Linked DNA regions of Cricetulus griseus. The protein of the gene in region 2 interacts with the protein of the main gene of each other region in a pairwise test. Links are inferred from orthologs where the notes say so. Each region holds a gene or a part of one and is shown on either strand. Other genes may lie near its edges.

Region 1 (16,560 bases), on a different chromosome or scaffold from region 2:
ACAGGCATTTCATGGGGGGAGATCCCTTACCGGTGGGCATGCCTGATACCTCGAACAGGAGCCAGGTCCCCCATGAGTAGCTTCAGCATAGTAGACTTCCCAGCCCCATTCTCCCCAACCTGTAATAAACAGGAGCATGTTTAATGACTTTACATGTGTGGGACACAGAAGGGAAGGAAGCAAGAGGGGCCCTGGGTAGTCCCAGTCTTACAACCAAAAACTCTAAGAACTATCACATGCAAAGCTACAAAGGGAACTGATACTTGAGTACTTGCCAAGGGACGAGGTTTACTGCTCCGGGAAACCACAAGTGGTGTATCCCTGTGTAGGGGTTCATGTCTGGGTATAGATGTGTGCATGTGGAGGCGCAAGGTAATGTCAGATGTCTTCCTCCATCTTTTCTAGAGCTCACAATTGTGCTAGCTGGCTAGCCATCTTGCTCTGATGATTTCCGTCTTTGCCCCTTGCACACAGGGATTATGAGGGGTGCAATGAGCACTCAACCATATGTGAGTTCTGGGGACTGAACTCTAGCCCTCACATATGTGCAGAAATCACTTTCTACTTGCTGAGCTCTTTCCCCAACCTTGACCTCCCTTCTGAGGAAAAGGAAATTTCCTAAAGCTAAGCTATAGAACAGCATATTTTAAATCCTGTCCTGTAATCTATGTTCTTTCTTTAATGTCTCATGAGTGACATGATTCAGAACCAAGAGCAGTAAGATAAATTACTGTTCTATATATTCACAAAATGCCACATGCTGGGTTTCTATCTCTGAGGTGGCCTGTGAGACTACAGAGGACAGCAACAGTGTTAAGTATGACTCTCTGTACTCTCTATTCTCAGGATTGGTCCAATCTGAGCTTGCTAAGGTAGACATCTCCCGGGACATAGAACAGAAGAGTGACCATACCACACAGATTCGAGACTCAAGGTCAGCAGAGACAGACAGACGACTGAAGATGACGTGTTTAGGATCATAGTAGAAATCCACCTCATCTAGCTGCAGAATTGGTGGTGAGAACTTCTCAAACCCATCAGGGAACCTGTGGAGGTGCAAGTATGGAGTGTGGAGGCAGCCAGAAACAGGGGTTCCCCCTCAGCTCCCCAGCTTAGCACTCACTTCATCACCACCTCGGATTCCTTGTCCACCGGCTTTAGCTCGGGTCTGAGAGGAGAGATGGAAAAATGATTATTTAGCAAGATGTGAAAGTGGGAAGGAGAACACTGGGGGTGGAAAGGTTTAAGCAGGGAAAGGAGACAGGAAGATGAGGGAAGGGTCAACAAAAACTAAGGATGTATGGAAAAGCGGCAAGGAAGCCTCATACTTTATAGGCTAATTAAAAAACAAAAAAGTTTAAACCGAAGTTCCCTGTTTGTGTGGCTACAGCTGCTCCAAGAAGTCACAGGTTATTAAAGAAAGTTCCAGTGCCAGGGCTCGTATAGCTCCCTACAAGTAGTTGGTCAGGAAGGCCTTTGAAGACCCAGAACAATACAGGCAATAGTTAGCGGCTCAGCAGAACAAGGTGGTCCGGACCCTATTATGTGTGCACATGCGCACACACACAGAGGTGCCAGTATAAAGACCACGATGACAGGAGTATAGAACTCCCTTATGCAGAAACACATGGCAAGACAGAAGCTGCTTCCAGAACAAAGAAAGCAAGACAACTGAGATGAAGCTGGCTAGCCCTCAGGGCTGGGAGGTGCTAAGCAGCCTGCTGGGTGTGAACTGCCACCAACAGTTTTCCTTAACCACGGAATTATGTGCTACACTACTGACTGGCCAAGCAAGCAAGGTGTGTCCATTGTCAAGGCCACTAAAGGACAACCAGCTGCTCTCTGATTGGAACCGAGGCCTGTTCCACAGGCGGAACTCGTGTCTGTGCTACAAACCAGATCAATACCTGTGGCCAGGGAGGTCACAAGCTCTAGTGTGGAAGCTACAACTATGTTAAATCGTCATCACTTGCCCATGAAAGTGCCTTCTAAATGATCAGGCAGCTTCGTTCTGAAAGTAGTAACTGCAGACTCAAAACTGGACAGAGTGCTGAGGACAAGCGACTGGTAAGTACCCAGACACAGACAGGATGTGACATTCCCTCAAGGGCTCAGGGACATGTTGGAAGACAGCATAGAAGGAATGAGAATGGAGGACAGGGTGGGGTTGTGTGGTGAAGTGGTGGGTGCTATGGGATAGTCTGCTGGGTGTGGCATGACTGTTAGGATGACCTGCCTGAGACTGGGCCTGTCAGTGTCCTGTCATGAGGTCCTACCGCTGGGGATTTATAGGCAGTTAGTGGTTGCTGGGGGAGGGGGTGAGATTTTCTGCAGGCGTGAAGCCACTAGTGAGGTGCCTTTGCTTCTGTAAATAACACCTCATCCACGCTCTTGTAAGCAAGCCAACAAAACTTAACTGGTTTGCCAAAAACCAAGAAGACATCAAAGCAGAGGGGGAACTGAGTTGGGAAGAAGAGATAGATGGGAGGGGGACAGAGAGCAATGCCAGATGGGTATGACCAAACTACATTATATCATGTATGAAAATATAACAAACCCATCTTATATAATTAACACACTAATAAAAGAAGTGAAACAATCAACTTTATGGTGTATGTGGTAAAACGCCCATAACCCTGCCACTTAGGAGGCTAAAGCCAACTTACATATTTTGTGCCATGTAGTGAGACCCCGACTCAAGAAAATGACAAAAATTAGCAAGAAAATCTGTTCTTCTTGCACAAGTAAATGCTTGGAGAAAACAGACTTGTATGTCCTTCACTTGGCTAATGCTACAATGTATTCTTCTAGATCACTATCTGGAAGAAAAAGAATCATCTTTCTTGCTGCTTAAAAACAAACTAACAAACTTGGGGCTGGAGAGATGGCTCAGTGGCTAAAATCACTGGCTGTTCTTTCAGTTCAGATCAATTACCAGCACCTACATGGCAGTTTACAACTGTCTATAACTTCCAGTTCCATGGGTCTGACACCCTCACACAGACACCCATGATGGCAAAACACCTAGGCACATAAAATTTTTAAAAATTAAAAAAATATAAGTTGGGTGGAGTAGTGCATGCTTTTGATCTTAGCACTTGGGAAGCAGAAGCAGGCAGATGTTGCTGAGTTCAAGCCTCACATGTTCTATATAGTGAGTTCCAGGCTAGCTAAGACTACATAGAGAGTATATGTAGTTTCAAACAAAAAAATAAAACAAAAACAAAAAAGTAAATATTTAAAAATATATAAATATAAAAATTTTAAATATTTAAATTTATTTTCTCATATGTATGGGTGTTTTACATGAATGTAAATGTGCTGAATGTATGCAGTGCCCATGAGGTCAGAAGAGGGTGTCTGTTTCTTTGGAACCAGAATTACAATAGTTGTGAACTGCCACGTGGGTGCTGAGAACCCCACGTGGGTGCTGAGAACCAACCCAGGTCTTCTGCAAGAGCAACAAGCTTTCTTACTGCTAAGACATCACTCCCACTCTAAAAAAAAAATTGTAATGATGTTTATTTGCCAGGCATGGTGACATACACTTTTAATTGTACTACTTGGGAGGCAGAGCAGATGGATTTCTGTGAGTTTGAGACCAGCCTGAACTATATAGGAATTCCAGACCGGCCCTGTCTGAGACCTGTGTGAGACTCTGTCTTAAAACACAAAACAAAAACCCAGAAAAAGTCTGGAGCCTCTTCCCCTCTTTCACCCTGAGTCCTGGGAATGAAATGAGGACTAACAGGTTTGCCACAGATACTGTCTCCCAGTCGAGCGGTTCCCCAATTTAAACAACAACCCCCAGCAAAACCCCACCTTTCAACAGCTTTTTAAAAACTTAGATTTGTGTTATTCCCTTATGTTGTACATGTGAGGCAAGGTCTCACCAGCTTGATTGAGCCAGCCTTGAACTTGAAGTCCTTGCTTCAGCCTTCACTCATTCTGATATTATGAGTCTGTGCCCTGCCCCAACCCCAGCCCCAGCTCCAGTCTGTCTTGGTAGCTTTTACCCTTAATATACAGTAATAAATGTTTCCATGTCAGAGCTGTTAAGCCTTATGAATTTACTCTCTCTCCCAGGATTTCTAGAAAGTCTCCTTCAAGATGAAACCCTCAATGAGCAATTTCATTAGTCATAGAACTGCTCATCAAAACCACAATGAGATGTTGCTTTTCATGTACCAGGGCAGCTGAGACTGCAAGCGTTAAGAGCAAGTGCTGGCAAAGACATGGGACAATGACAGTTCCCACACCCTAGAGGAGGCATATAAAATAATGCACCTGTTTTTAAAACAGTCTGGCAAGCCAAGAGTGGTGGAAGTGATTCCAGCTCATGGGAAGCAAATGCACCTGGAGTTCAAGGCTTGCCTGGGCTACAAAGTGAGAAACTGTCTCCAACTAAAAACAACAAGACTGGTCTGGACCTGAAACCACCTACAGGTCCCTTCTGCATCACATCCAACTATATTCACCAAGCCAGACTTTCCAATTCCTTCTCTAAGGTCTAGCCTCACCTCTCATCAAGGAAACTTCTCTTTGCAACAACAGAAAGAGACCATTACGGAACTACAACCAATCAAAATGTAGAGCTGTAGAACTGAGTCCCAATGGATACATCCACAAAGCACTCCAGCATCTAAGGCTCAGGGAACCTTTTGAAAGGGGAAAGATCCTAAGAGCCAGAGGAGCAGGGAGTTTGCTTCGAGATTGTTTCCTAGCAATGTCAGAAGTACACCCATAAAATCTCAACAATATGACTGCTCAAACATGAGCTGAACAAAAATGACGCCAACAGACATACCAGTGTGTGTGTGTGAGAGAGTTATTGTGAGTGTGAGTGAGTATAGGCCTAAACCCTATACCAAGAACTACAGGCAACCAAGGAGTGCCGACAGAAGGAGGAATAGTCTTCCCCAGGGAAGAGCACACCAGTTGGTATCCAATACCGAACGGTCAGCCCTGAAAACATACATACAGTAACATTATATTTAGGACATATAGTTATATTTAGGAATATATTCATATACATATGCACATGTAACAGCAATTAATGAAAAGTGAGGCTGAATTGGAAAAAGAGCAAGGAGGTGTATAAGGGAGGGTTTGGAGGGAGGAATGGGAAGGGAGAAATGATTTGATTATGATCTCTTTTTAAAAAAGAAAAAATCATGAAAAAAAAAGTAACAAAAAGAAGTCTGATATGTCTTATATTCATTTTTAGTGAGATTTGTATTAAGTATATCCAATATAAAATAACGTATAAACTTTTATTGAATTGGTCTGGAAGGGGGTCTAGGGATGCAACTCAGTCACTAGACTGCTTGCCCAGTGTGCACAGGTCTCAGATCCAATTTCCAGCACTACACAAACCAGGAATGGAGACATATGCCCATAATCTCAGCACCTGGGAGGTAGAGGTAGGAGGACCAGGAAGGAGTTCGAGGTCATCCTTGGCTATGTAAGACTTCAAGGCCACTTGGAAGACAGAGGCAGGTGGATGAATCTCTGTGAGTTCCAGGACAGCCTGGTCTACAAAGTGAGTTCCAGGACAGCCAGAATGGTTACACAGAGAAACCCTGTCTCAAAAACAAAAACAAACAAAAAAGTAAGGCTAGTTTGAGCTACAAAACTGTCTCAAAACAAACCTAGTTTGGCAGATCCTTAAAAAGTTAAACATTAGGACCAACTGTGTTGGCAAATGCTTTAATTCTAGCACCTGGGAGGCACAGACAGGAGGGATCCCTGTGAATTCCAGGCTAGCCTGGTCTACAAAGCAAGTTCATGGCCAGCCAGGGCTGCACAGTGAAACTCCATTTCAACAATAACATCATCATCATCATCATCATCATCATCATCATCATCAACAGCAAAACCCTCAAAAGTTAAATTACCATGTGAAACAGCAAATCCACTCTTAGATATGAACCTAAGTAACACAAATGTCTGCATAGGAATTTGAACACAGGGGGTTGGAAAGTCGGCTCAGTGGTTAAGAGCAACACTGTACTTGCAGAAACCAGGTTTGGTTTCCAGCACCCACATAGTCACTTAAATTCATCTGTTAACTTGTTCCAGGGACTCACCTCCCACTCTGGCACCTGACTAGACACACACACACACACACACACACACACACACACACACACACACACACACACACACACTGCCTTTACACACATGTAGGCAACACACATATAAGATAAAAAAAAAATTCTTTAAAGGAAAAAGCAAAAACTTGTACATAAATGTTCATCGCAGGCCAGCTGTGGTGGTTCATATTAGTAATCTCAGCACTCAGGAGGCCGAGGCAGGAGGACTGCTGTGAACTGGCGGTCAGTCTTACAGATTGAGACCTGGTCTCAATCCCCCACATCTCCTAGAAAGTTCATATAGCATTCATTATTCCTAAAAACATACAGGAATAACCTAAAGTTCATCACCTGACTCAATAAACAAAAGTATCAGAGTCATGAAATGGAGCATATGTCACCATGAAAGGAAACGAAGTGTTAACATTACAACATAGATGACCTTAGAAAACATGCTACTAGAATAATAAGCTAGACACAGGTGAGGACTAGGTGCTAGGTTTAATCTTCAGTACAGGGAGAAAAAAAGCTAGACAAACCAAATATATAGAGACAGACAATAAATCTGAATTTGTGGCTGCCTAGGCAAGGTTAGTAGAAAGTACTCTACTTCTATGTTGGAATAAAAGTTGGCTGCTAGCTGAAGGAAGGCCCAGAACGGAAAGATAAATAAAGGGCAGTTTATAAAATGAAAGGAAGAGCTGGGCATTGGTGGCGCATGCCTTTAATCCCAGCACTCGGGAGGTAGAGGCAGGCGGATCTCTGTGAGTTCGAGGCCAGCCTGATCTACAGAGCGAGTGCCAGGACAGGCTCCAAAGCTACACAGAGAAACCCTGTCTCGAAAAACAAAAACAAAAACCAACAACAACAAAAAAACGAGGGAAGAAATGAAGAGGAGTTGGTTCTGGACAAGGACTTTGTACTCACAGCTTCTCCAACATCTTGAGTTTACTCTGCACTTGAGAGGCTCTGTTGGCATTGTATCGAAAACGGTCTATGAAAACCTACAGGAGAAGCAGGCACTTGTCAAGCTCCCTCACTGCCACCAACTCTGATACCAATGGGATGGGACCTGTGTCCTGTCTCCCCTACCACACCTGGATGTGCTGGCGGTACTGCTGCTGGGCCTCATACTCTCGCTGTTGGTTGAGTAGTCGCTCCTGCTTGCTCTTGATAAAGGTTTCAAAGTCCCCTCGGTAACCATCTAGTCGTTGGCTATGCAGGTGGATGATGTCTGTGGCGATGGCATTCAGGAAGTTGCGGTCATGAGAGACAACTAGGATTGTGGAGGGCCACGTCTGAGGAATAACAGAATGGCAGGCTGTTTGGAAGGGTAACTGGCCCCCAGTGTCTTGGAGGCAAACTTTCTCTAGACCCACTGTAAAGCCTTCCCAAAACTCACCTGCAGGTAATTCTCCAACCACAGGATGGCCCTTACATCCAGCATGTTTGTGGGTTCTGGAGAGGAAGCAAGAAACACATACTTGGAATGAAGGGCTGGAGAACTAGAAAAAAGGATGTTAGCATCCTTGTCTAGCTCCAAAGTCAGGGTAGCTCATTCAAACTCACCATCTAACAGCAGAAGATCTGGCCTATGAAAAAGAATAAATACACAGCATGAGGCCATGACAAGAAACTTGTTATGATATCCCATGAGCCATTCCAGTCCATTGCATTCCAGTCACACATTCTCAGGATCAGGAGACTCACCTGGCAAACAGAGCCCGGGCTAAGGCCAATCTCATCCTCCAGCCACCAGAGAACTCCCTAATGATAACAGACTCCCGTTAGGGCTCGGTGTTCATCAGGACAAGCAGGGCCAGAGCCAGTAGTCTTCAAAGTCAAAAATGGCCAAGTTTACTCACCTCGTAGGCTGCTGCTGCATTTTAGGGGTAAAACCAAGCCCTGCGAGAATGACTGATGCTCTGTGAAGGGAAATTACAAGAATCCAATTGGAAGAGTTCAAATGAAGACAGCAAATAGACAGGAAAGGAAGTGGGAATTTTAAGTACCTGGCAGGTGCTTTATCAGCCTCAATCTCCTCCAGTTTGGTATAGATTTCTGCCAACTGTGCAGCTTCTGAGCCCTCTGCCCTGGGACGGAAAAAGACCCAACCAGCTTGTATAAAGACAGTCTAAGATGCAGTCTTGTACCCTCTAAGTTGAAAAGCAGGCCACTGGGAAGAATGAGGGCTTTACAGTTCCACAGGCCAAATTCCAAGCTCTGCTGCTCACTAGGGAGGCCACATGAATTATGGAGCTACTCTGCACAGTGTCTTAGTGTCCAGGTTTCTATTGCTGTGGGAAAACACCAAGACTAAAAGCAACTTGGGGAGGAAGGGTTTACTTTATCTTATAACTCTCAGGTCACACTAAAAGTCAGGGCAGGGACATGGAGGCAGCAGCTGAAGCAGAACCATGGAGGAACACTGCTTACTGGCTTGTTTCTCATGGTTTGCTCTGCCTGCTCTCTTATTTAACCCAGGACCACCAGCCCAGGGGTGCCACCACCCACAACTGAACTGGGTCCTCCCACATTAATTATCAATTAAGAAAATACACCACAGGCTTGATCAATCAATCTGATGAAGGCATTTTCTCATTTGAAGTACCTCTTCCCAAATAGCTCTAGCTTGGGTCAAGTTAACACTAGTAAACCAGGACAGACAGCTATTGCTTGTACCCTCTAGCCTGAAGCCTTCACCTGCCAGCAGCAATCTTGACACTGAGCTCCCGCTCCTGCCGTAGCAGGTCCTCCCGGACTGTGTCACTCTCCAGCACGCTCTGCAGAGCAGGGGTATCATCTCCAGCAACCTCCTGCTCCACATGCAGCAGAGAAATATGGGCTGGAACCCGCAGGCTCCGGGTGGCCAGCATCTTTAGCAACGTCGTCTTCCCCAGACCATTGCGTCCCACCAGTCCATAGCGTCGGCCCCAGGCCAGGTTCACATCTGCTCCAGCCAACAGTACCCTGAAGGGTGGTAGAAAGAGATGAAGAGTGGTCTAGAAACAGCTGCAGAGGAACTTTAGCACTGTTTTGGTCCCACTCGATAGCTCCAGATTCTCCTCTAATTAGAAAGATCATACCATTCCCTCACCTGTCACCAAAAGACACATCGAAGTTCTCAATTCGCACATCATAGGACTTGTTCTTGCCAGATGACTCTAAACGGCTCTCTTTTCTGCTGCCTGCCTGGCTAGCTGAGGCCTCCTCCAGGACTCTTTCAAATGGAGATAGGGGCAGTTTTTAGGGCTCCCGACAACCCTTCAATACCAGAACCTGCCCTGCTCCCTTCTGAGCCCTTTTCTTAAACTCACAGAGGGCTGCTGGTCTTCAGGGTTTCCTTCTCTGAACGCTTTTCCTGCTTTGCCTTCAGTCGAGCTTCAGCCTTCTCTAGTTTCTTCGCATTCACTGTCTGATTGAATTCCAAACACAACCAGTTTATACCAGGGTACAGATCCAAAAAAGGACTCCAGGGACTACTTCAAACAAACCCTCACAACCTACTCATGATGATACAGAATCAAAGGTTCAAGGAAAGACACATTAGAAATCTCCCCCAAAGATTTACCCACTGTTTAGACTGTCAGCTCTGTCACCCACCATAGACACACAGCCCCTTCCCCTCCCTGCTCCTCACCGAGGACTGTTCCCTCTTTAGCAGTCCTGGAAGTTTGGTGTCACAGTCTGTAAGTGATAAGAAAAGCAGTCACCTTCTCCATGAGGGAAGGGAAATGAAGACTTTGAGTGACTAACAAGAACCAAGAATAGAACTTTAAGACACTATTATGGCACTGGAATAGATGGTTATTAGCCTTGAAATAAAAAAGAAAAAGATCTCACATTTAAATACAGAGGCTGATGTACTCTTACAAGACAGTGCTGTTGGTTAAAATACAAAACTGGCAAAACCAAGTATGTTTAGCTCCAAGGCCTATACCTCCTACTATAGCCCACAGCTTGGAGAACCTTCCAACCCTACTCTTCATCACAAGAGTTTTTTTTTTTTTTTTTTCTTCTTCTTTTTCTTCTTTCTTCAAGACAGGGTTTCTCAGTGATACCCTGGCTGTCTTGAACTGGCTCTGTAGACCAGGCTGGCTTCTGCCTCTAGAATGCTGGGACTAAAGGCACTGCCCGGCTCATCACAAGTTTTTCTATTCACAAAATACCACAAGTTCCTACAAGCCTTGTTATAGAAGATGGAGGGCGTCCTGAGCTGCAAGAAACAGGTGGCTGGGGTGGAGGCAGAAGGCAGCTAGTTCAACATCCCCTCACTCTCACCGTAGCTTTCCATTATCTTTGACAACTGGATGGGGGCGTCCAGTAGCACCTGGCTGTTTCCCTGGTTCTGTGGCTCAGCCCTGCGTGGGTAGGGATAGAAAGCAGTCAGTTGGGAGAAAAGATTTGCAGCCTTCAGACCTTCCCACTAGTTTGTACTCCATTCCCTTGGCACCTACAGGCGTAGAGTGTTGTACATGCGCTGACAGACAGCCCTGATGCCCGCGTCATCTTTGCTGTCCCCGGACACTTCTTGCAATAGTTCCCCCACAGCTTCCACCAGGTCATCCACAGACTCGAAGTCCGCGCTGCCGCTATGCAAGACGCCTGGGCCGCGTACCGCAGAACAAGAAAGACACCGGGTAGGGCGGATATACAAGCAGTCTCAGTGTCTGATCAGCCCACTCGGGGCTCCAGACCCCACCGGCCCTCAAGATAAGAGGTCACGCAGAGGAGAGACCAGGTAGCAGTCTGCTGCACTGTCCACCCTCAGTCTTCCCCCGAGATCTCCACTTCGGCCTCCCCGGGCAGTTAATTCCGTTTCGCTCACCGGTCACGTAGTCGAAGACCTGCCCGTCAATTTCTGGGAACTCGCTCCGCAGGATATCGGCGCAAGTCGCCATGTTCACCCGGGGTCCGGTCTGCGCAGTCGTGATGAGATCTAGGCCTAGGACCGCCTTCTTGCCCTTCCCCCCTGGAATAGCACCCCCCCTTCCTCCCAGGGGCGCACGCGCAGTAATGACGTAAGAAAGTAGAAGCCTGCGTGGAGTCTAGAGGGCGTGGCTAGCGGAACTGCACGCAAGCGCCGCGAAGTCCGGCAGACACGGCGACCTCTGCGCCTGCGCAATTCATGTTTCACGACTGTATTCACCTGTACCGTTTTCTCTGCCTTCTGGAAAGGGGAGATGGAATCGAGGGGTGTGGAGGGGTGTGGCGGAGTCGCCCTACGTTTATCAGGGCGAGGAGCACAGAAGGTGCCGCGAGAGAGACCCCACCTAGAGACAGACTGTCGTTGAAGTGGGCCGCTTTGCTAGCGCGGAGCCTTACCCGCAGGCGGTGTCGCTGTGCGCCCACCCAAGCCTTTAGGCCACGGCGTTTTGCTGACTCACGCCAGCTCTCGAGTGCTTGGCTTTCTGCTCAGGACTGAGCAGACTCAGGACTGAGTCTGAGTTTCATTTCGTTCAGTTAGTTGAATCAGCTTAGTGATGCCTAGCCTTCCTGCCGCTTTGTTCTGTGCATGGTTGTTCAACCAAGTCATTGAGAAATAGGTTATTCTGTTCTTTCACCGCCAGGTCAACAAGAAGCCCTTTATAAAATTTTTATACTAGGTCTACAGACAAAGCAGGTTTTCTTACACCCTGAATCTTGGGGTCTGTAAAAGGACGCCCCCCCATCGATTTTGTCAAGTAGACGTTGTGGTAACACTACTGCTTTATTCTTAAAACAAAAATTCTTCCTAATACGCCCAAATTACACCCATATTAATTTTTAAGAGAACCTCCCTAGACAGTCCAAGCTAACCTAGAACTCCTGATCCTCCTGCCTGTCACCCAAGTGCTGGAATTAAAAGCGTGTGCCACTACACTGGACTGGCCACTCATCTTTTTTTTTTTTTTTTTTTTTTTTTTGATTTTTTCGAGACTGGGTTTCTCTGTGGCTTTGGAGGCTGTCCTAGAACTAGTTCTTGTAGACCAGGCTGGACTCGAACTCACAGAGATCTGCCTGCCTCTGCCTCCCGAGTGCTGGGATTAAAGGCAGGCGCCACCAACGCCCAGCCATTTTTTTTTTTTTTAAAGTGACAAGATTTATTAGAAAGGGCAGGGGGTGGGGAAAGAGAAAAGAGGTAAAGAGATACAGACGGAGACAGAAGAGAAGAGGGAGACAAGAAAAGCCCTGTCTGCCCACTCATCCATCTTTACCAAGCATTACTGCAATGGGGAGCCAGTCTTGGTGTCTAAAGTTTAGGAAAGCTATCTGTATGTCTGAGGATACAGCTTTGTTGGTGGAATGCCTGTCTACTATGCCTGAAACTTTGTGTTTGATCCACAGTACCCATAAAACTGGGCACAGTGGCATATGTTTGTAACCCCAACATCCAGGAGGCAGTGATAGGATCAAGAATTCAATGTCCTGGCACTCAGGAGGCAGAGAGAGGTGGATCTTTGTGAGTTCAAGGCCAGCACCGTCTATAGAGAGTTCCAAGACAAAGAAACCCTGTCTCAGAGAGAGAGAGAGAGAGAGAGAGAGAGAGAGAGAGAGAGAGAGGTAAGGTCACCCACAGCTACAAAGCCAGCAACTGAGCCTCTAAATCTAATCTAATAACCATTTCACAGTAAATACAGATAAGGGGCTGGAGAAGTGATTCAGTAAAGTGATAGGTATGCAAGCATAGGGATCTGAGTTTGATCCAAGACAAAGTCTCTAGTAAGAAATGTCGATATGGGGGCTGGAGAGATGGCTCAGTGGTTAAGAGCACTGGCTGCTCTGCCAGAGGACTTAAGTTCAATTCCCAGCAACCACATAGTGGCTCATGACCATCCATAATGTGATCTGGTGCCCTTGTCTGACCTGTGGGTAAAACACTGTGTTTATAATAAATACATAAATCTTTAAAATAATGTCACTGTGGTCTATTTTCAGTATAAGGTGTACTTAGTGCTCATCAATGAGTCACACATAAGCAGGAGGCACGGAGTCCTTCTTTCCCTAGCTAGCACCTTAGTTTTCCTCAGGGATGAGAAGTCAGTCAGCTACATAACTGAACCTATGTTATCAGGAAAATGGGGAGGGATCTCCAGTCCAGGAAGATGGAGGTTTGCGGTGGGGTTTTTTGATTTTTAGTTTTTCAGATCAGGGACTCCAAAAACCACTGTTTAGTGCCAAATCAGAGTGCCAGTCAGCCATGTTTGCCTCTTCTCCAGGCTGATGACAGATTCTTCAAGGTCAAAAAATAAATTGCTTTGCTTTGTTATCCTTATTATGAAGTGAGGAATACGTTTCTCACACACCTGTAATCTCGTGCTGGGCAGGCAGAGACAAGAAGATCCCTAGGGCTTAGAAGCTGTCAGCTGAGCCAAATCAGAGTTCTGGTTCAGTGAGATACTGACTTGAAAAATAAGGTGGAAGGCAATTGAGAAACACACTCCTAACTGACCTCTGAGCCTCTCCATGCACACACACACACCACACTAAAACCGAGAGGCTGGGAGAGAGGCTCAGAAGTAAAGAATACTTGCTGCTTTTTCAAAGGATAGTGTTTGTTTCCTAGAACCTACAGGACTGCTCACATTGCTCTGTAACCCCAGTTTCAGAGGACCCAATGCCCCCTCTTCTGGCATTGAAGAGTACTGCATGCATGTGATGCAGGCAAAATACTCATGGTCTTAAAACACAATTAGGGACTAGAGAAATGGCTCAGTAGTTAAGAGCACATACTGCTCCTTTTCTTTCTTTCTTTCTTTCTTTCTTTCTTTCTTTCTTTCTTTCTTTCTTTCTTTCTTTCTTCCTTCCTTCCTTCCTTCCTTCCTTCCTTCCTTCCTTCCTGGTTTTTTTGAGACAGGGTTTCTCTGTGTAGCTTTGGGGCCTATCCTGGCACTCGCTCTGGAGACCAGGCTGGCCTTGAACTCACAGAGATCTGCCTGCCTCTGCCTCCCAAGTGCTGGGATTAAAGGCGTGTGCCACCAACGCCCGACACAAATACAAATCTTACTTGATATATGCTAACTAGAAAACTTCACATCTGCAACACTGCACTTGGGAGGTGGAGGCAGGAGAATCCTGAATTCAGCCAACTGGGCTTGCACAATGAAAACCCAGCTCAAAGCAAACAAAGCCTGGAGTGGAGGCACATGTGTGTAATAGCAGCACTTGGGAGGCAGGGGCAAAGGGATCACCAAAACTTCAAGGCCAGTCTGGTCTATAGTAAGTTCTAGGTCAGCCAGGGCAGTATGTGGCAAGACTCAACAAAACAAAGCTTGGCATGTCAGTATACACTTTTAATCCCAGCACTTAGAAGGCAGAGGCAGGCAGACCCCTGTGAGTTTGAGGCCAGCCTGGTCCACACACAGAGTTCCACGACAGCCAGGGCTACACAGAGTTAACAGGCCCACCAGACCCTCCCCGACAGCCCCATTAACACTAGCCAACAACTCCACTCTACAGTTTATTGGGTTTATAACTGGACGAAGTCACATGTGTACAAAACAAAGCATACTATCCCAAAGCAGAGTAGGGGTTAAGGGCTGGGGATCTGTTACTGGCCTTTAGGGGAGCTCTGAGGTGAGGGGTTGTCAACCATCCTACTGCAGAGGTGTGGCCACAAGGGTAGAAAGGAGAGGGGGCCACCTGACTTTGGTCACAAAACTCAGGGCCTGGTACTAAGCCAGGACAGATAGATGGAAGAGAAGCCTCAAAAACCACCCTGCCCAGGAAGCTGGGGACCGCCTCAGCAGTCCCACTGTGGCTGGTTCAGACCTATACTCAGGGGCTAGAGTAAAGGAAAGGCAGCAAAGCAGGAGGGAGGAAAGACACTGACGAGTGGTCACTGGGGTACTTGAACCTGTGGAAAAGGGTGGGTGGGGAGGTGGGCCAGCTGCCACTAGGCAGCTAGCAGCGGGTTTCATAAATGCCACTTCGGCCAATGTATCGCACCCATTTGATGACATCATGGTCACTGTAGTTCAGCTTCGGTTCAAATACCTTCAAGTAGCGCACCTTGAGGCCAGAAGGCGCGAATGGCACCTGGGCAGAGGACAGCTCCAGTTAGGAACATGGCCTTCCTATCACAGTGGATCTACTCTGGCAAGTTCCATGGTTCACTGCCCTTATCTACCACAGGTGTTTTTGAATTGCTGGGGTGGGGGAGCTCACTAGGAGGTTACCAAGTGAAGAGTTACTATGATCATCTCATGTCTGAAGAAGGCCCCAGCTGTGATGATAACCATTCCTCTAATGTCAGGAGGTAATCAGAGAACTACCTTTGACATACTTATCCTTGTCAACACCATGGACTGCAAAAATGAAGGGAGAATATGATGTCTAATTCACACAAAGCAACATCAGCTTGTCTTGTCTCTAACAAAATTCTCTTAACTGTCTTTTAAACAATCTAAATGTTTCTCAGGAACTGTTTTGTGACAAGTCAAGAAGTCAAGCTTTCTGTCAGATCAAATTTTGACTTCTATTAAGAGGCTTAAAGAGGATGGGTCTATCAACTCAAGACACTTCCCAGTTTCCTCACCCCCAAGGAGCAGAGACTGATCTGAAAGACTTTCCTATCACACCCAGCCATGGCACTAGGCTTGCCCGCCATACCTCAAAGTTCATGGAGATGGGGGGTCGAGCCCACTTCTTCTTGTCATTAGTGGGCAGAAGTTCAATCTCTGCGCTGATCTGTGATTCCTTCATGCCTGCCATGCGCTTGATCCTAGGAACACAGGGATAATGGGCAGTAGTGGCCTGTGATAGTTTGGAGAATTCTCAAAGTAGGGATTGCTTATTTCAAGCATGGAGAGGGAATAAGGGCATATGGGCTTATGGGTGGTGTCAGGGTAAGGATGCGAGCTCAGGGCCCTGAGAACTACTTGTTACACCTTAAGCACTTGGGGCTTCAATTTCTTTTTACACGTATGGGTGAGATCTCCCTTACCTAGACTGTATGTTTCAGACACAAGACAAGGGTCAATGGGAAATACTTTTGAAAAATAGACACATACAAGCTCAAGTGCCGGTGTGCGTGTGCTCTCTCTCTCTCTCTCTCTCTCTCTCTCTCTCTCTCTCTCTCTCTCTCTCTCTCACACACACACACACACACACACACACACACTGTCTCTTTGTGTCTCTCTCAGCTGACAATACAAACACAGGCTCCTAGAAAAGCAGGCACACTTCTCTCACCCCATAATCCACATAAGAGGACAGAAGGTGAAACTTAACGAGAAGGTACACTATGGCATCTTGAGCCTGGCTGTGGCCTCCTCAAGACTCACTTCCATACAATGGCGTTCTCGCTGGCCTTGTACTTGGCCTTCCCCTTCATGCAGATCACCTGCACCCCGCTTGTGTTCAGTGGGGTTGGGATCCTCACCTAGAAGTGACACAATCGTCAGTGAGCTCTGTGAAGGCCTAATGTTATCTGTCCCTACTCCCGAGTCAAGTCCACCTTCCCCAAGTTCCTTATCCTCACCTC
Region 2 (16,560 bases):
CTGCCTTTGTCTCCCAAGTGCTGAGATTATAGGCATGTGCTACCAAGTGTCACCCTGTAGCCTAGACTGGCATCACATTCAAAGCAGTCCTGACTCAGCCTCCTGAATACCAATATTACAGACATGATCCAGCATGTGTGGCTTTGTTGGGGGAGTGAATGAATTTGTTTGTTTGGTTTGAGTCAGGGTCTCTTGTAGCTCATGCTGGCCTCAAACTTGCTATGTGACCTTGAGTTTATGATCCTCTTGCTTCTGTCTCCTGAGTGTTGAAATTGCAAGCATGCATCACCATACACCTGTATTACAGAGTGCAGAGGATAGAACCCATGTCTAAATGCATACTAGACAATTACTCTTATAAACTGAGCTGCATCTCCAACCCCTTCATTGTGATTCTGATAGTGTCTTTCAGAAAAGAGTACTTTATCGTGTTTAATTCTGCTATTGGTCATGGCTTAAACCCTGTGTTGGGCACTATATTTTCTAAAAAATAATGTGAATTTGCATTTCTGCCTGTCATAGTTATAAGACTGTTTCTTCTGTTCATTGGTAACATGTAGAAGTCTTTGTTTCCTCATGTTAGCATTTAAGATGTTAAGAGGGCTTTGTTAGCTAGCATTTAACAGAAAAAAATTGAAGGGATACTGATAAATTACTTTTTAAAATACTTGAAAAAGTTTGTGACAGGGTTTCATTTAGTCCAGAACCCATACCTAGCTAAAGCCTGCCTTTAATCCTAGCCTCCACTTCCCAAATGCTAGAACTATACCTGTGTACCACTGAGATATTTTACTTTATTTATTGTTGTTTGTACATGCATGTGTATATATGTGTGTGTGCATACAAATGTACCATGGTGTGCATGTGGAGGTCAGAGGACAATACTTGGGAGTTGGTTCTTTACTTCCACCGTGGGATCTGCTGATAGAACTCAGGTCGTCAAGGTTTGCATGGCAAGTACTTTTGCAAAACCAGAAGTTTCTCAGCCTGACAGTTTACTTTTATGTGTGTGTGTAACTGCAAGTGGCCTTAAACTATGTGGATTTTAAACATTCTGTGGACTTCATAGTATGTAAAAATGCAACTGAGGACAGTCATTTCTGTGTGTAGTTGAATTGATGAGTTAATATTTTGAAACAATCAAATTTCAAGTGTTTCTTTTCCTGTTTTCTACCATTTTCATGAAATAAATGAAGTAGCCAATGGCTTCTAATTTTTCCTAGCTTAATACAGATGCTGAAAGAGAAGAAGAAGAGTTTGAAGACAACATGGATGTTTTCGATGACAGCAGCTCCAGCCCTTCTGGCACTTTAAGGAATTACCCACTTACCTGCAAAGTTGTTTATTCCTATAAGGTTTGTATCTCTGCCATATATTGGTGATAGTAAATTATGACAACTCTGAGAATTCATGATCCTCTGCTTACATTGTGCTGGGTGGCATATAGTTGCCATCTGTTGATAGCAACAGGACATGGTAGTGAAATGTTGGGACTCTGCCATTGACTTTTCTGCGTAAAACACTGTCTCTAGCTGGATGGTGGTGGCACCTGCCTTTAATCCCAGTACTCAGAGACAGGGGCAGGTGGATCTCTTAAGTTCAAGGCCAGCCTGGTCTACAGAGTGAGTTCCAGGACTGTCAGAGCTATGCAAAGAAACCCTGTCTCAAAAAACCACTGTCTCTGCTGCTCTGGGCTACCCAACCATACACTGGGTTTCTGCAAGACCCAGTGCTTTGTCTTAGGGGTTTCTTGGTTTGTTTGTATGTTTTTTTTGTTGTTGTTGTTGTTTATTTTCCTGTATCATAGGAACAGTATCTACTTTGAAGACTAAGTAACACTTCCATAGCAAAGCACTGAGCATGTACCTGGCATCTCATAAACTCTCAGTGGCTAGAGAGTTCATGCCCCAGGTTGGCATAGACCTTCCATTAGGATGCCCCCCAAGATTGAGACCAAAAGAAAAATGTCTTATAAAGTGATTGTAGGAAAAAATCCAGCCCAGTAGCCAGTGGCTGAAGTTCAGACTCCAGGAGCACTCAATTCCTTCCCCCTGAACATCTTTGGTACTGCTCACTCCTTCTGCCTAGAACTCTGTTTCCTCAAGTCTCAGCTGCCTACTTCTCTCCCTTGGAGCCCTGCTCAAAAAGCACCTTCCTTGCAGGAGAGATGGCTCAGCAGTTAGAAGTTGCCCCTACAGAGGACACAAGTTCAGTTCCCAGCATTTACATAGAGCAGTTCACAACCACCTGTAAGTCCAACTCAAGGCTTCTGGTCTCCAAGGGCAGCTACACTTATACAGATAATTAAAATAAAATAAATTTTTTAATCAAAGCTAACCTGAGCTACACAGAGAGTTCCAGGCCAATCTGAGTCAAAAAAAAAAAGAACAAAAAATAAAGGTAAAGAAAGAAATAGGGGAAATAAGGAAAGAAATAGCACAGTAGATTCATTGCCATCACCATATCCTATTATCAAGTGCTGTTTACTCTGCATAACTGTATGTGCCATACTTCTGTATGTCTGGCAACACAGGCTTGTTCATGCAGTAACTGCCACAAGAATGAGTAACGTGTTGCACTATAGTATCATGATGGCTACAACATGGGTGACAAAGTTTTCATCTCCATTATAATTTTATTTTTGAGATGGGGTCTCAGTCTATAGTCTATGTAGAAAATACCTTCACACTTGGGGCAATTCCCCTGCCTCCACCTCCCAAGTGCTAGGACTACAGACAAATACTACCATGCCTGACTTTTATTGTAATCTTACAGGACCATTACATATGTTGGGTTGTCCATTGTTGATCATAACCTCATGAAGCATATAATTGAACATGTGTGACCAGCTAAACTTTATCTTACCTATGTTCCTGTTTCTTTGTATGGCTCCTCACTGAAGATCCACGGAAACAGAAACTTTGTGCCTTATCTGTGTGTGTTCATCACCTGTGACAATGCCTGGGCATAGTAAATAATTGTAGAATGGGTAAATTAATGATACAAGGATGGCATGAACAAATGAATCCTCTGACCCCACTGTGATAAAACACAGTAGAAGAGGATAATGCCAAAGATGATGAGAGAGTATGGAGAAAATTTTCCAGCTGTTGTCCACTGATTCCCAGCTCAAACCCATGTGCTTAATGTTGACTACATATACTACTCAATACCAAGAATTCCTGGGCTTTTTGAGTTTGTCACATTCATTAAATTCAAACACATAATACTTCTTGTTTCCTTCTTGTTATGATAATCTTCTGAAATTTGAAGTCATCTTCTGAGATATTTAGAAAGGTCTTCCAAGGTATAAAGCTAAAGCTTCAAGTATTTCTCTCTTTTTTTTGCAATTTTTTTTATTTGAATTAGAAACAAGATTGTTTTACATGTCACTCCCAGTTCCCTCTCCCTCCCCTCCTCCCCTACCATTCCCCCCCCCAACTAAAACCTACCTATCACATATCCTTTCTGCTCCCCCTGGATGGTGAGGCCTCCATAGGGTGTCATCAGAGTCTATCATATCCTTTGGGATAGGGCCTAGGCCCACCCCCGTGTGTCTTTGCTCAGGGAGTATTCCTCTATGTGGAATGGGCTCCCAAAGTCCACACCTATGCTAGGGATAAGTACTGATCTACTACAGGAGGTTCAAGTATTTCTTGGTGTTACTTCTTTTTGTTCTATTTCCTTGAAAGTTCCAGAAATAAGATTTGTGATACTTAATGGAAAGTCCTAAGCCCCCACCCAGCTAATTTCAGACACTCACATTCTTCCCCATCTTTTCTTTCTGCTGACATATCTGGTCTTTTCCTTATGGTAAACCAGAGTAGGGAAATCTGTCTAAGGATCAGAAGTTTGGCTCAGTAGTAGAGTGTTTCACTCTCATGCAAGGCTCTGGGTTCAAATCTCCAACCCTTGGCCCTATGCTTGATTCCCAGAATCCCCAGGATAGAAAAAGAAAACTGATTCCCAAAGGGTGCAGACATACATGTAGGCAAAACTCACATAAAATTTGTTAAAAAGAACTGGGTGTGATGGTGCACACCTTTAGTGCTAGCACTCTGAAGGCAGAGGCAAGCAGGTCTTTGTTACAGGCCAACCAGAGCTACGTAGTGAGACCCTATCTCAAAAACAAACAAACCTTGTTATAAATGTCAAATACAAAGGAAGAATACCAAGTTGCATGTGTGTCTCCAATATCTCTATACACATTCTTCAGCCTTTCAACAAGCGTGGATAAGCGTGACTTTTAAAACCAGGAAAGCAAAATACAGGAAATTTAAAAATAGGTGGGAATGGATTTCTGACTTACTGAATATTCAGACTTAAAGGACACAGGATTGAGATTGTATATTTAGTAGCCATTTATTAATTACTTGCTATCTGTAGTTGGGATGAGAGAAGAAACAGCCCACTTTAGGTCATTTTGGTAGGAAACCCACAGGGATGAACAACTAGCTGTAGTGCCATGCATGGAAGTCAGTGTCTGAGAGATGCAAAGGTCTCACCAAAGTAAAAGGGAAGAAGCAAGCAGCTCATGGTAGCTGTCCTGTGAAAACATATGCACTGCACCACAAATCACAAGTAATAGGAAGAACTACTCTCTATTTACTTATTCTTAATTCAGTAACCCTATCAGGGAAATATGTGACTACCTCCATGTACCAACAGTGCTTTTTTTTTCTAGTTTCTGGAATGTGGCACTGACCAAAAACCTCTATGCCCTTAAGGGACTTTATATTCTAGTTGGGGTGGGGTGGGGTGGAGTGGGAAGAAACCTAAAGACCAAAGACATCTTTTTTTTTTTAAGAAAAATCAATTTTATTTTTTATGTATATTAGTGTTTTTGCCTGCATGTGTGACTGTATACCACATTTGTGCCTTGTGCCCACAGAGGCCAGAAGAGGGTCCACTGGAACTGGATTTACAAACAATTGGGAGCTGCCATGTGGATGCTGCAAATTAAACCTGGGTTCTCTGCAAGAGCAGCTAGTTCTCTAACAGCTGAGCCATCTCTCCAGCCCCTCAGTGACATCTTAGGGTCATTTGCCCATAGAAATAGACTGAAGCTGAACTTATACTCAGCAGTCTACGGTGGTGGTGCACACCTTTAATCCCAGCACTTGGGAGGCAGAAGCACACAGGTCTCTGAGTTCAAGACTAGCCTGTTCTACAAAGTGAGTTCCAGGACAACCTGGGCTACACAGAGAAACCCTGTCTTGGCAAAAACAAACAAAGAAACAAACAGAAAACAAAAAGATGGAGGAGAGCTGTCAGACAGAACAAAGGGAAGAAACAGAAGCAAGGAAAAGCACAGTGTGCTCAGAGAGCAGGAATGAGTATGCTGGCTCAAGGCTTTGAGAAGTTCACAGGGCCCACTCATGGTAGATCTTACACACTTTACTCTAGTGCTTGATTCTGTTGGCCTACTGCTGTGAAGCTGGACAATCCACATGGACCTCCATAATTGGTCACAGGACAACAGCATGTTGTACTCTGTCCCCTCCTGCCTTGTTTTACACACATTCAAGTCTGGTTGTATTGATATTAAGTCTTGCCATGTACTTAGGAAAATGACTTCATTACAAAGGTGCCTTTTGCTAGTGGTTTTGTTTGGTTGTATTTAGGTTTTTGTTCCTTTGAAACAGGGTGTCACTTTGTAGCTCAGGCTGACCTGGAACTCCTCTTGTCTCAACCTGGGATTATAGGCATGTGTCACTCTGCCTGGCACACAATGTAGTTTCAGAGTAACAAAAAATTCCACAGAAAAAATATTAAGAGAAAGAGTAGAGGTTTTCTTCATATTTTGAAGTCAGAAATAATCTACTTAAAATCTGTCATTGGAGCTGGTGGTAGCCATTGATCCCCACACTTAGGAGGTAGAGGCAGGGGATCTTTTCCAGGACAGCTGGGGCCACTCAGAGAAACCTTGTCTCAAAAAAAAAAAAAAAAAAAAAAAAAAAAAAAAAAAAACTGTCGTTCTAGTATTCTGAATAGGTTGTTCATCTTCAGACCTGTTTCTATGTCAGGAAGCTATGCCATTGTCCATAATCTGGGTTTTGATGGGATAGGAAATGGGTCTTAGGAAGTGACTCACTTTCAACAACAGTTGTGGTACAACTCAGTAAGTGGATACAAGAGGATCAGAAATTCAAGGTCTTCAAGGTCATCCTTAGCTTCATAGCAAAATTGTAGGTCAGCCTGGATTACATGAGAGGCTAAATCCCCACTCCCAAGAGAAGAAAATATGACTCACTTTATTATTTTCTATTTGTATAATTTGGAACTATTCTATACTTGAGACTGAGATCTGAATCATGATAAAGCCTTGTGTGATAGTGGGACTTGGGGAAAGTGTTGAAGGCTTTTTACTAGAGAACTAGAAGACACATGTCACATGACAGACAAGACTCTTCAGGAAGCCTTGGTAGAGGCTCTCTCTGTGGAGTTCCCTCTGGAGTATCTTGAATTTCCTCCAGGGTCTGTGTCTCAAAAGCAGACCATGGTGGTTGCCAGTTGAGACAGTAAAGCACTTCAGCTAGTGCAGAAACATTCATATGGATCAGCCCCAGTCTCCACACTCAGTCATTGGCTTGCTTACTACTTCCAGTGATTCCAGAGGAGCCCCAGGCGATGCCCAAGCACTGCAATCCATGTACATAGTGTCTGCGTTTCCACTGCATGCACTTCCATGATAGCCTCTGGTGGAATTTCATTCAAGTGCCTTCTCTGTTACTTATGCCTCCCAGGTCATCTTGGTTCTGTGTTTACTCTTGCCACATTGACCACCATTCTTAGAGAATGGTTTGGTTGACATTTGGAATAAATGGAGGCATTATGCTGAATAAGCAAGCTGGAGCCAACCTCCAGGCCCTCTGCTTCCAGCATTGCCCTCTGCTCACTGAACCTGATTACCTCCTGAGGATCCAGTTTCTGTTGCAGTTTTGTTTAATTTTCCAAAGTAAAACTTCACCTCATTATGATAGTTTTACAACACTAAAATTTCATTTCTCAGAATCATCTCAATATTTTGATCCCTGGCTTTTGTTATGACCAGCTCACATCTGCTCTTTATCTAACCTTTTTGATTTTGTCCATGGCCATCCTACATTGCAGGCTTCTCAACCAGATGAGTTGACCATTGAGGAACATGAGGTGTTAGAAGTGATTGAAGATGGAGATATGGAAGACTGGGTAAAGGTATATTCCTTTGCTCATATCACCCCTTCTTGTGATGTTTTAGGCATTTATTTTGGTTCTTGGTCTATTCCATCCAAATTGTGTCTACAAACTTGTTTTTTTCCCTTGTCTTTTAACCCAGGCTCGAAATAAAGTTGGACAAGTGGGTTATGTTCCAGAAAAGTACCTACAATTTCCCACTTCAAACAGCCTACTGAGCATGCTGCAGTCTTTGGCTGCTTTGGACAGTCGGTCACACACATCCAGCAATTCCACAGAAGCAGAACTCATTTCAGGCAGCCTCAATGGAGATGCTAGCGGTAAAGACTAAAATAAGACACTTAGTCTGGTCACAGTTGTGACCTAAACTAGTACCTGGAAGTTACTAAAGCCTTCAGTAGGTTTAAAAGCACTTTATGTCCTATGTCTTCCTATATTTGATAGCACTAGTCCTGTTTAGTAGAAGCTTACAGTTACTTTCAGTGAGTAAAATCTTAAAACTTAATCTTGTCTTGTATGATGCTCAGTAGTTGTCACGGAGCAAAAGAGAGGCTGTGAAATCAGTCCAGGTGGCTAGACATGGTGTGTGTACACCTGTTATTCTAGTAACTGAGAGTGTGTTGCAAGTTTGAGGCCAGCCTGGGCTATAGAGAAGACCTTGTCTTAAAGTCTAGGGCAAAGCAGTACATTTGTATGTTCTTACAGTTCATCTTTCTCTTGCTTCCAGTCTGTTTTGTGAAAGCACTTTATGATTATGAGGGCCAGACAGATGATGAGTTGTCCTTTCCTGAGGGAGCAATTATCCGTATCGTGAACAAAGAAAACCAGGATGACGATGGCTTCTGGGAAGGGGAGTTCAATGGGCGAATTGGCGTTTTCCCATCGGTGCTAGTGGAAGAACTCTCAGCCTCAGAGAATGGAGACACTCCTGGGACAAGAGAGATCCAGGTATGTGAGAGGGAGAAAGAAAGATAAACCTCTCCTTCATTCTGTTCCTTAATAGCCTGATGTCTGCACAACTGAATTTGAAAAACTAGAGGCTTGTTAGGACTTTGTAGAAAATTACCATCTTACATTCCATTCTCTTTCCCAAATTGTTTTCTCTGAATTCATTAAAATACTAAATTTCATATGACATTTAGAAAATGATTTTGCTGCCAGGCAGTGGTGGCACACGCCTTTAATCCCAGAACCCAGGAGGCAGAGGCAGGCGGATCTCTATGAGTTCGAAGCCAGCCTGGTCTACAGAGTGAGTTCTAGGACAGACTCCAAAGCCACAGAGAAACCCTGTCTTGAAAAACAAAACAAACAAACAAACCAACAAACAAAACAAAACCGATGATTTTGCTGGAGAGAAAGAAGCCAGGGAGGAAATGTGTTGTCTCCAGCTAGCTTCCGTAGTATGGCCCTTAGCTGGCCCTTCTACTTCATGAGACCCCTCTCTCTCCCAGGTTCTACCAGAGCTCTAAGGGGCTCAGTTTCCTTCACAACAGCTAAGTGTTATTTTACAGGAAATTGTCAGTTTGATTTGTCCTCTTTAGAGATCTGTTCCAGCAGGCCTGGCAGATAGAAGGGTAAGGCATGTGACCATGACTGCTTAGTCTGACATGTAGAAAACCTAGGGAAGTCAGTCAGAAACTCAACCAATGATTTTTATCTTCACACACAGACACCATCTGTCCCCCATTTGTTCTTCACAAGTTTAACTGAATTGCCTAATGGAAGAACCCCAGAGAATGGTTTGACTTGGCAACTGTTTAACATAAACTAGAATCAATGGAATAATGAAATCTGAGAGGGAAGTGTTAAGTGCAATACAAAGTTGAAGCTTCAGAGTTTATTGTATGCCCATTTGCTTCTATGAGGCTGACAAGTATTAACAATTATAACTTAGCTTCAGAGAAAGGGAAGGCATACTGAGCAGTGAAGCAGCCAAGCTCTTCTTCCTGAGGAGAGCATCTAGTAACTGTGCCTCCTTTATTACAGATCTCTCCATCACCCAAGCTGCACACATCCCTGCCTCCACTGCCGCTGTATGACCAGCCTCCCAGCAGCCCGTATCCCAGTCCAGATAAGAGGTGCTCCCAGTTCTTCCCCCGGTCTCCTTCAGCCAATGGTAAGCATCCTGAGCACATGCCCACAGCACTCACGTCTACACTAGTATCTTTACTGTTCAGTTATCAACCTCTTGGGTTCTCTCCCTCAGAAAACAGCCTTCATGCTGAATCACCAGGGTTCTCACAAGCATCAAGGCAGACTCTCGACACCTCATATGGCAAGCTGCGGCCTGTAAGTCTCCTATTTTAAAGGGTTGTAGAGTGCATAGTTCTTCCAAATTGAAAGTGAGAAATTCACACACACACACACCACCCCCATGGTCCCTGTTGTTACCAATCTGCCATGCAATAGTTTGGAGAAGTAAAAGCTATTGGAAAGAGGCTATAAAATAAGCTGGATGTAGTGGTGCATGCCTTTAATCCCAGCACTCAGGAGGCAAAGTCAGGTGGATCTTTGTTAGTTCTAGGATAGTCTGATGTATATAGCAAATACCAGGCCAGATGGCTTAGCAGTTAAGAGCACTCACCTCTACTGCAGAGGGCCTGAGTTTGGTTCCCAGCACCAACATACATGGTGGCTCACAACTATCTGAAACTCCAGTTCCAGAAAGTCCAGTGCCCTTTTCCAGCCTTCTCAGTTACCAGGGAGGCACATGGTACAAATATATGCATTTAAGCAAACACTCAGACACATAAAATAAAAATCATTTTTTCTTGAAAGGAAGGCTATAAAATAATGGATCTAGTCTACATTGGAACATTACTCACTGAGCCAGGGGCGATCAAAGAGGGTAGCCATGCAGTGCTTAAATACAAACATAACACAATTGTGAAGTGAAACAATTTCTTACCATACATTTATTAAGAACCCATTTTTCAACCGAGCTGTAGTGGTGCACACCTTTTGTCCAAGTAGAGAGGCAGAAGCAGGTGAATCTCTGAGTTTGGGGCCAACCTGGTCTACAGATCAAGTTCCAAGACAGCCAAGGTTCCATACCAACAGCTCCCTCATTCATGTCTTTCTCCTGAACTTTGGCTTGTGGGATCACAGCTTAGATGCACCAGACCCACAAACTCAGCAAAATGGAGTTAAATCTCTTCTCTTCTGGACATGTTCTCTCTCCATCTTGCCTGTGTAGGTGAGTGGAAGTCACTCCCTCCAAGTCTTGGAATCATTCCTGCTGCCTTATGGGTCCCAGTCTCCTATCCCTCAACACAGACACTTACCAGAGTAAACCAGCTGGGTTTACTCTCAGAACCTTCTGATGCTCTGTACTGTTCAGGTTGACATCAGCACTCATCCAGATGACCAGGATATGTCCTACATCATCTTCAAAGTATACATGCCTACCTACAGTCTCTTCTCAAGCTGTTGAGTCATGTTTTCCCATCCAGATCTGGCACTTCTTAAAACTAACCAAAACCTCTGTCTACATATAAAACCCAAGTTTCTTGTTTCTTTTCTTTCTTCAACTATTTTCAGTGTTGGGATTGAACCCAGGGCCTTGAGCCTGCTAAAACACTCTTCCACTAGGCTACATTCCCAACCCCATGTTTTTTGGTTTGGTATGAGACAAAATCTCATGGTATGCCCAGACTGACCTCCATCTTTCTGCAATTCTCCTGCCTCTACTTCCTGCATGCTAAGATTACAAGCATGCACCACCATGCTTGGCTATCTAGGTTTCTTACTGTAAAGCCCTTTACTACTTGCCCCAGCCCATCTTCCCAGCCTCCCTACCTGTGGCTATCCTCAGAGACATAGTGAGCAGTTCCACTCTCTACACTGTGTCTTCTTTTTGCTACCTCCAGGCCTTTGCTTTGGAGAGGGGTTTTAGGGCTATCGAAGCTTGTGTGCCTTAGGACATCCAGCCTAACAAGCAGTCTGATGTTACATTTCATGCAGAACAGTGCCTGCTTTTCAGGGTAGGTAGCACATGGAAAGCTGGGAGCATGTCCCAGACCCCCGGCTGTCACTGTCTCTAAAGAGGGGCATTAGAGCTTTCCATGTGGCGGGTTCTGAGTCAGGAAGCTGACTGACAATCCTATAACTGTCTCCCGCTCAGGTTCGAGCGGCACCCCCACCACCCACACAGAACCACCGACGGCCAGCTGAGAAAATGGAGGATGTGGAGATCACACTGGTGTGACAGTGGGTTTATTTTCCGTTATTGCTACAATCAAGGCCGGGCTTGGAGTTTGGCCAGTCGTTTTTAGGCACCTTTGCATGATGATGACTCTGGAACAGAGCAAAACTAAGGAGGATTCTATGTGACTGGTTGGCCTGATTGTGCCTTTTTTTGTTGTCATTTTCTATGTCATCTCTTCTACCATAGCACAAACCATAGCGGGTCCTAGAAGCAGATGGGAGCAGCTCTCATGCCTTATGGTGGCCCATTTTTATATGAGACTCAAGGCCAGGCCCAGAATTACTGATCGTGTGCGCTTGTACAGTATATTACTGTGGTCACAAGGCTGTGGCAAAGATCTCATGTTTCTTAAGTGGATTTTGCTCTTCTGATTAAGTATTAATCAGATTATGTTCCCTATATAAGGAAGCAAGAAGGATCCAGGAGAGGCTGGCTCCTCCCTGAGCTTCATTCCCATACTGAAGATGCAACCTTACTGGGAAGAAAGTGGACTGACTGCCTAAGCTTAGCGCCAATTGCATTAATGCACATCTCTTCCACAACTAACAGATTAAAATAACAGTGTCCTTTGTATTAATATTTATGCCATTCATTTAGTATTAGTGGGCTAACCTGAAGGGGCTGAGGCCACGTCTTGCCCATTACCTAGACTAGTAGAGGGAGGTTATGGCAGAAGCAGAAGTGGAGCTTCCAGATCTGAAATGAGCCACTTTAATGTTCTTTTTGTCTTTTGGGTGTTTTCCCTCTTGGTTTTTACAGTGTATGCCCTTCTGACCTTTGAACCCAAGTGTCTGGCTGCATTGAGGACACAGGCCTACACTGGGCAGCTCCTCTACTGGGAAGGCCCTTGTATTATTTTATCTCCAAGCCAGAGTACTGGCCCAGATATCAGGTTGTGATTAATGCAGAGCAGCTGTCACCTTCAGCAAGTGCAGCTTCAGGTCCTGCTGCCCTGACATTTGTCTGGGGTGAAGAACCTGTGGGCCCTGGAGGAAACCTGCTTTCTGTGGAACAGATAAAGGACTGCACACCTACACAGGTGAAACCAAGGAGACCAGACCTTCAGGTGGTGGGAGAGCCATGTGCCGTTGCCTATGGCACAGCAGCAGGCCTGAAGGGCTGCCCACACTGGACTGTAGGTCTTCTTGACCTAGGGAACAAAGTAATGTTTGCCAATTCTCTTTACCTTGGTTGGGGAATGAAATTCACAGATTTAAAGGTTGTACAATGTTTTGAAATTTCCATCTCTCCTGAGAATCTCTAAAAACTTGAAATGCTCACATGTCCCCGTGGGATTTTTGACTGATACCAGAGCTGAAGGGGTTGTCAGTCATTGACCACTTTAGCAATGATGCTCTGATGAATCTTCTCCATGAATTTGGATTTTTGTTTTTTGCATTTCTTTATCTGTTGATCTATTTGAGGTCTTTTTATGTTTATCAAACTTATTCTTAAGTTTAAAAAGTTAAAAGGGTGTTTTAAGATTTTTCAAATTTGCTGATCTTTAAAGTGCTTATAATAGAGCAATTCCTGCCACCCAGTCTCTTATTCTCTTCAGCTAACCAAATTGTGCTTGATTTGAGTTTCCCATAACCTCAGAGTTATTTGAACTCTTTTGTTATATTTTAAAATATTTTTTGGAAGAGCTGCTAATTTTATTTTAAGGAACAAAGTTGTAAAAAAATATGCCTCCTTTTTAAAAAGTAATCCTTCTCTCCAAGCTGCATAACCCGGCATCACCGTGCACAGGTCAGGGCTCAGAGGAAGCCTCCGTGCAGATGCGCTTTCTTTACAGTGGCTGTAAAAAGTTTGTATTTATTATGTATAAAATGTTGAATAATAAAAAATGAAATTAAGTTTTCCAAGTGTCCTAATAAAAAAATAATGGTTGATTAATCAGGCTTTGAGAAAGAGTGGAAAGGGGAAAATGCTTCTTACAAAAACACTACTGGGCCCTGCTTAAACTACTTCCCCTGTGCAGAGAGCAGGAAGGGAGTCCACCCAGGCAACAAGATCCTGATGCTGTTCTTTTTTAGCAAGAGGAAAAAAACAGGTAATATATTTGAGGCCAGGACTACTAGCCATGCTGGTGATCTAGTTACAAGATGAGCTCCTGTGGCTTACAAACAACCACAAGCCAAGGACTGAGAACCCAGCCTGGGTGTGGAGGAGCTCACAAGTTACATATATGATACGTATCATATGTAAGTGTGCTTGTGCCACAGCACATATTTGGGGATCAGGACAGTTTTTGAGAGATGGCTTTCTGAGCTCTTTGCCCAAACAGGTCTCCCGTTTTTGTTATGCTGTGTACTCCTGGACCACCCATCTTATAGAAGCTAGGTCACTGTGTGCTGCCTTTCTTCCCTGTGGGTCCTGGGAATTGAACTCAGATAGTCAGGCGTGTGCAACAGGAGCTCCTACTCACTGAGCCATCTCACCAGTCACATTGTGTCATTCAATTGTTTGGCTATGTAATAACCTAATCATTCCTTTTGTGAAGAGCGTTTAAGTTGTATCCAGCCACTTGCTCCTAAGAAATTGAAGCTACTATCACTGTGTATACTTCTTTATAAATTTGTTCCATGTAAATATTGGGCAAATTCCTAAATGTAGATTTTGACAGAAAGGGTATATATTTACATTTGTTAGATTTTTTTTTTTTTTTGCCAAATTGGCCTCCAAAAGAATTGCATCTATTTATTTGCATTTCCACCACCAGCATGTGGAACAACATGGATTTGGAAGTCAGGTATGGGTCATTAAATCCTGGCTGAGCCACTTGGGGCAGCCATAAAGACTGACCCTGTGTCCTACAGCTGAGAAGCCTAGATCCCGGAAGGATACAAAGTATGCAACACAGAGAGGCACACAAACACTGCCTACACTACCATCTCTCAACCTTCAGTGTCTTCAGGGCGATGGGTCCTCTTCCATTCCCTTGCCACACAGTAACCCACAAGAACAAGGTTTGAAGTGCTTTAAGTCTGGAAAAGACTGTAAGGACATATTTTCTGCAGTGAAAACAGCTCACTTTCAAGTCTGACTTTAGTCTTGGAGATCTGGTCTTCATCTTAGGTCAGAGTTCACCTAGTTGTCCTATCCCAGTGCCATCCATGTTGACTTCCTTTGTCACAGGAACTGATCAAGCCGCCAAACCATAGACTCACTGTTGATTACCTGGGCCCTGCCTCTCTGAGCCCAGGTTCATATGTCAGAGTCACAGTAGGAGGCTGTTATCTGGCTTTAGCCCTGCCCACTGCCTAATGGGACATCTTTCCATCCTCCCCTCCCAAGCTATTACCCCACCTTTAAAAAGGATGCAATGAGCTGGGTGTTAGTGGTGCACGCTTTTAATCCCAACACTCAGGAGGCAGAGGCAAGCAGCTCTCTTTGAGTTTGAGACCAGCCTGATCTATATATCTATTTCGAGGATAGCCAAGGCCATACAAAGAAACACTGTCTCATAAGACAAAAACGGGGCTGGAGAGATAGCTCAATGGTGAAGAGCACTGGCTGCTCTTCCAGAGGTCCTGAGTTCAGTTCCCAGAAACCACATGGTGGCTCGCAACCACCTGTAATGAAATCTGGTACTCTCTTGTGGCCTGAAATTATACATGCAAACAGAACACTGTATTTATAATAAGTAAAATCTTTTTTAAAAAAATGCAATGAAGGTGACTTCAGTGGGCTTATCCAGCTTCCTGCTAGATCAGTTAAATTATTCTAGATGCAGCGAAAGGGGAAGGAAGAAAAGTAAGGAAGGAAATAAATTCAGGCCTGGACTCATCCCCAGAGAGACAATTATTATGTTCAGTATTATGATACCACTCCTGGGCTGCACCAGTCCCAGCCACAGCTCTAGGATGTGGTTCTAATTACTACCCAACTCCCTCTTGACTAGCCTCTGACAATATCTAGCTGACTAAATCTTCTGCATTTATCGTGAGTTGGTGTGTATATGTATGTGTCACTTTTATGTCAGAAAACGGAGAATTGAAATTTTCCTGAAATCCTGCAACATGACATAACCAGTTTGTTTCCCTCCTGGACTCTTGCTGGGTTTGCTTTGTTAAAGCAGGAGGAGCCAATGAGAACACCAGAGCGTCTTGTCCCTGGACTATTTTCTTTTGGACCCAGTGGCCAAGAAAAAACATTGGACTTCTCCATGTGTTTTCCTGAGTGCTATTCAGGAAACGTGTTTTTAAAAGCCCCCTGAATGGGGCTGGAGAGATGGCTCAGTGCTTAAGAACACTGACTGTTCTTCCAGAGGTCCTGAATTCATTTCCCAGCAAACCACATGGTGGCTCACAACCACCTTGAATGAGATTTGGTGCCCTCTGCTAGGCATGCAGGCAGAAGACTGTATACATAATAAATAAAATCTTTAAAAAAAAAAAAAAAAAGTTCCCTGAAAGGAACCTGTGAGTAAGTGTCACAGGCTTGTGAGCCAAACACACCAGTAAGGGGCAGGGTGAACTGGGTGAAGAGCTGTGGATAATTCCTGCCATGATCTCAGTTCAGCCCTCAACTGTAACTTGGGAGTGAGAATATAAACTGCCTCAGATCCAGGAGAACTAAATAAGGTAATGTGCAGATGAACTGAAGATAGTGACTAGTGGATATACTTCCAGTAGACACGGTACCCAGAGTATGTCTGAATCTTGCCTGGTGTCAAGACTCCAGAGGCTTACATCTGTGGGAGAGTCTTAAGAACAGGCTTGGGCCAGGACTGGGGTAGCAGGAGCTCTACACCAGGACTTGTTTCTTATCCCTGTGGTGTCAGGATCAGTGAGGTTCTAGGCAGTTCAGGCAGCAATCCTCACACCTGTTGATCAGCCCGAGGAAAGTTCCATAGAGGAGTACACACAGCCTGGAAGCCACTGTGGCTTGCTTGAAATTCACAGAGAGGAATGGGAGCAACAGCTAAACTGGTTTCCACAAGACTAGGACAGTCCCTCCACTGGACCTGAGTCCAGTTTTTGCCAAAGAGAAAGAGAATCTTCACCCACTTTGTTGTTTTGGCTCCTTTTTTTTTTTTTTTTTTTTTTTTGAACAGAATCTCATGTAGCCCAGGCCTGCCTCCAACTCAGGGTGACCTTGAATTTCTGATCCTCTTGCCCTCTAAGTGTTAGAATTCCAGGCATAACATACAGTACTGCTTTATGTGGTGCAGA

What was found.
Region 1: the proteins of Fchsd2 (region 2) and Abcf3 interact in binary tests that used the Homo sapiens proteins (3 or more experiments, as listed by UniProt). The two-hybrid records come from large-scale screens. The link is inferred for Cricetulus griseus from reciprocal best matches to the Homo sapiens genes FCHSD2 and ABCF3.

The regions. Positions count from the first base shown.
Region 1 is NC_048597.1:68,080,018-68,096,577, forward strand, and holds the start of Abcf3 (ATP-binding cassette sub-family F member 3), read right to left. Parts: upstream 11,082-16,560; 5' UTR 10,997-11,081; coding exon 10,924-10,996; intron 10,701-10,923; coding exon 10,553-10,700; intron 10,457-10,552; coding exon 10,377-10,456; intron 9,783-10,376; coding exon 9,736-9,782; intron 9,511-9,735; coding exon 9,413-9,510; intron 9,316-9,412; coding exon 9,193-9,315; intron 9,066-9,192; coding exon 8,799-9,065; intron 8,214-8,798; coding exon of another isoform or gene 8,189-8,213; coding exon 8,108-8,188; intron 8,021-8,107; coding exon 7,961-8,020; intron 7,863-7,960; coding exon 7,806-7,862; intron 7,688-7,805; coding exon 7,665-7,687; intron 7,554-7,664; coding exon 7,498-7,553; intron 7,394-7,497; coding exon 7,193-7,393; intron 7,100-7,192; coding exon 7,023-7,099; intron 1,169-7,022; coding exon 1,124-1,168; intron 1,047-1,123; coding exon 914-1,046; intron 120-913; coding exon 31-119; intron 1-30. Other genes in the region: Ap2m1 (AP-2 complex subunit mu), read right to left, coding at 14,979-15,113, 15,687-15,798, 16,361-16,458, 16,558-16,560.
Region 2 is NC_048596.1:98,229,632-98,246,191, reverse strand, and holds the end of Fchsd2 (F-BAR and double SH3 domains protein 2), read left to right. Parts: intron 1-1,223; coding exon 1,224-1,355; intron 1,356-7,113; coding exon 7,114-7,197; intron 7,198-7,318; coding exon 7,319-7,496; intron 7,497-7,903; coding exon 7,904-8,124; intron 8,125-9,162; coding exon 9,163-9,292; intron 9,293-9,382; coding exon 9,383-9,465; intron 9,466-11,299; coding exon 11,300-11,383; 3' UTR 11,384-12,142; coding exon of another isoform or gene 12,143-12,157; 3' UTR 12,158-13,244; downstream 13,245-16,560. UniProt on the Homo sapiens protein: Adapter protein that plays a role in endocytosis via clathrin-coated pits. Contributes to the internalization of cell surface receptors, such as integrin ITGB1 and transferrin receptor.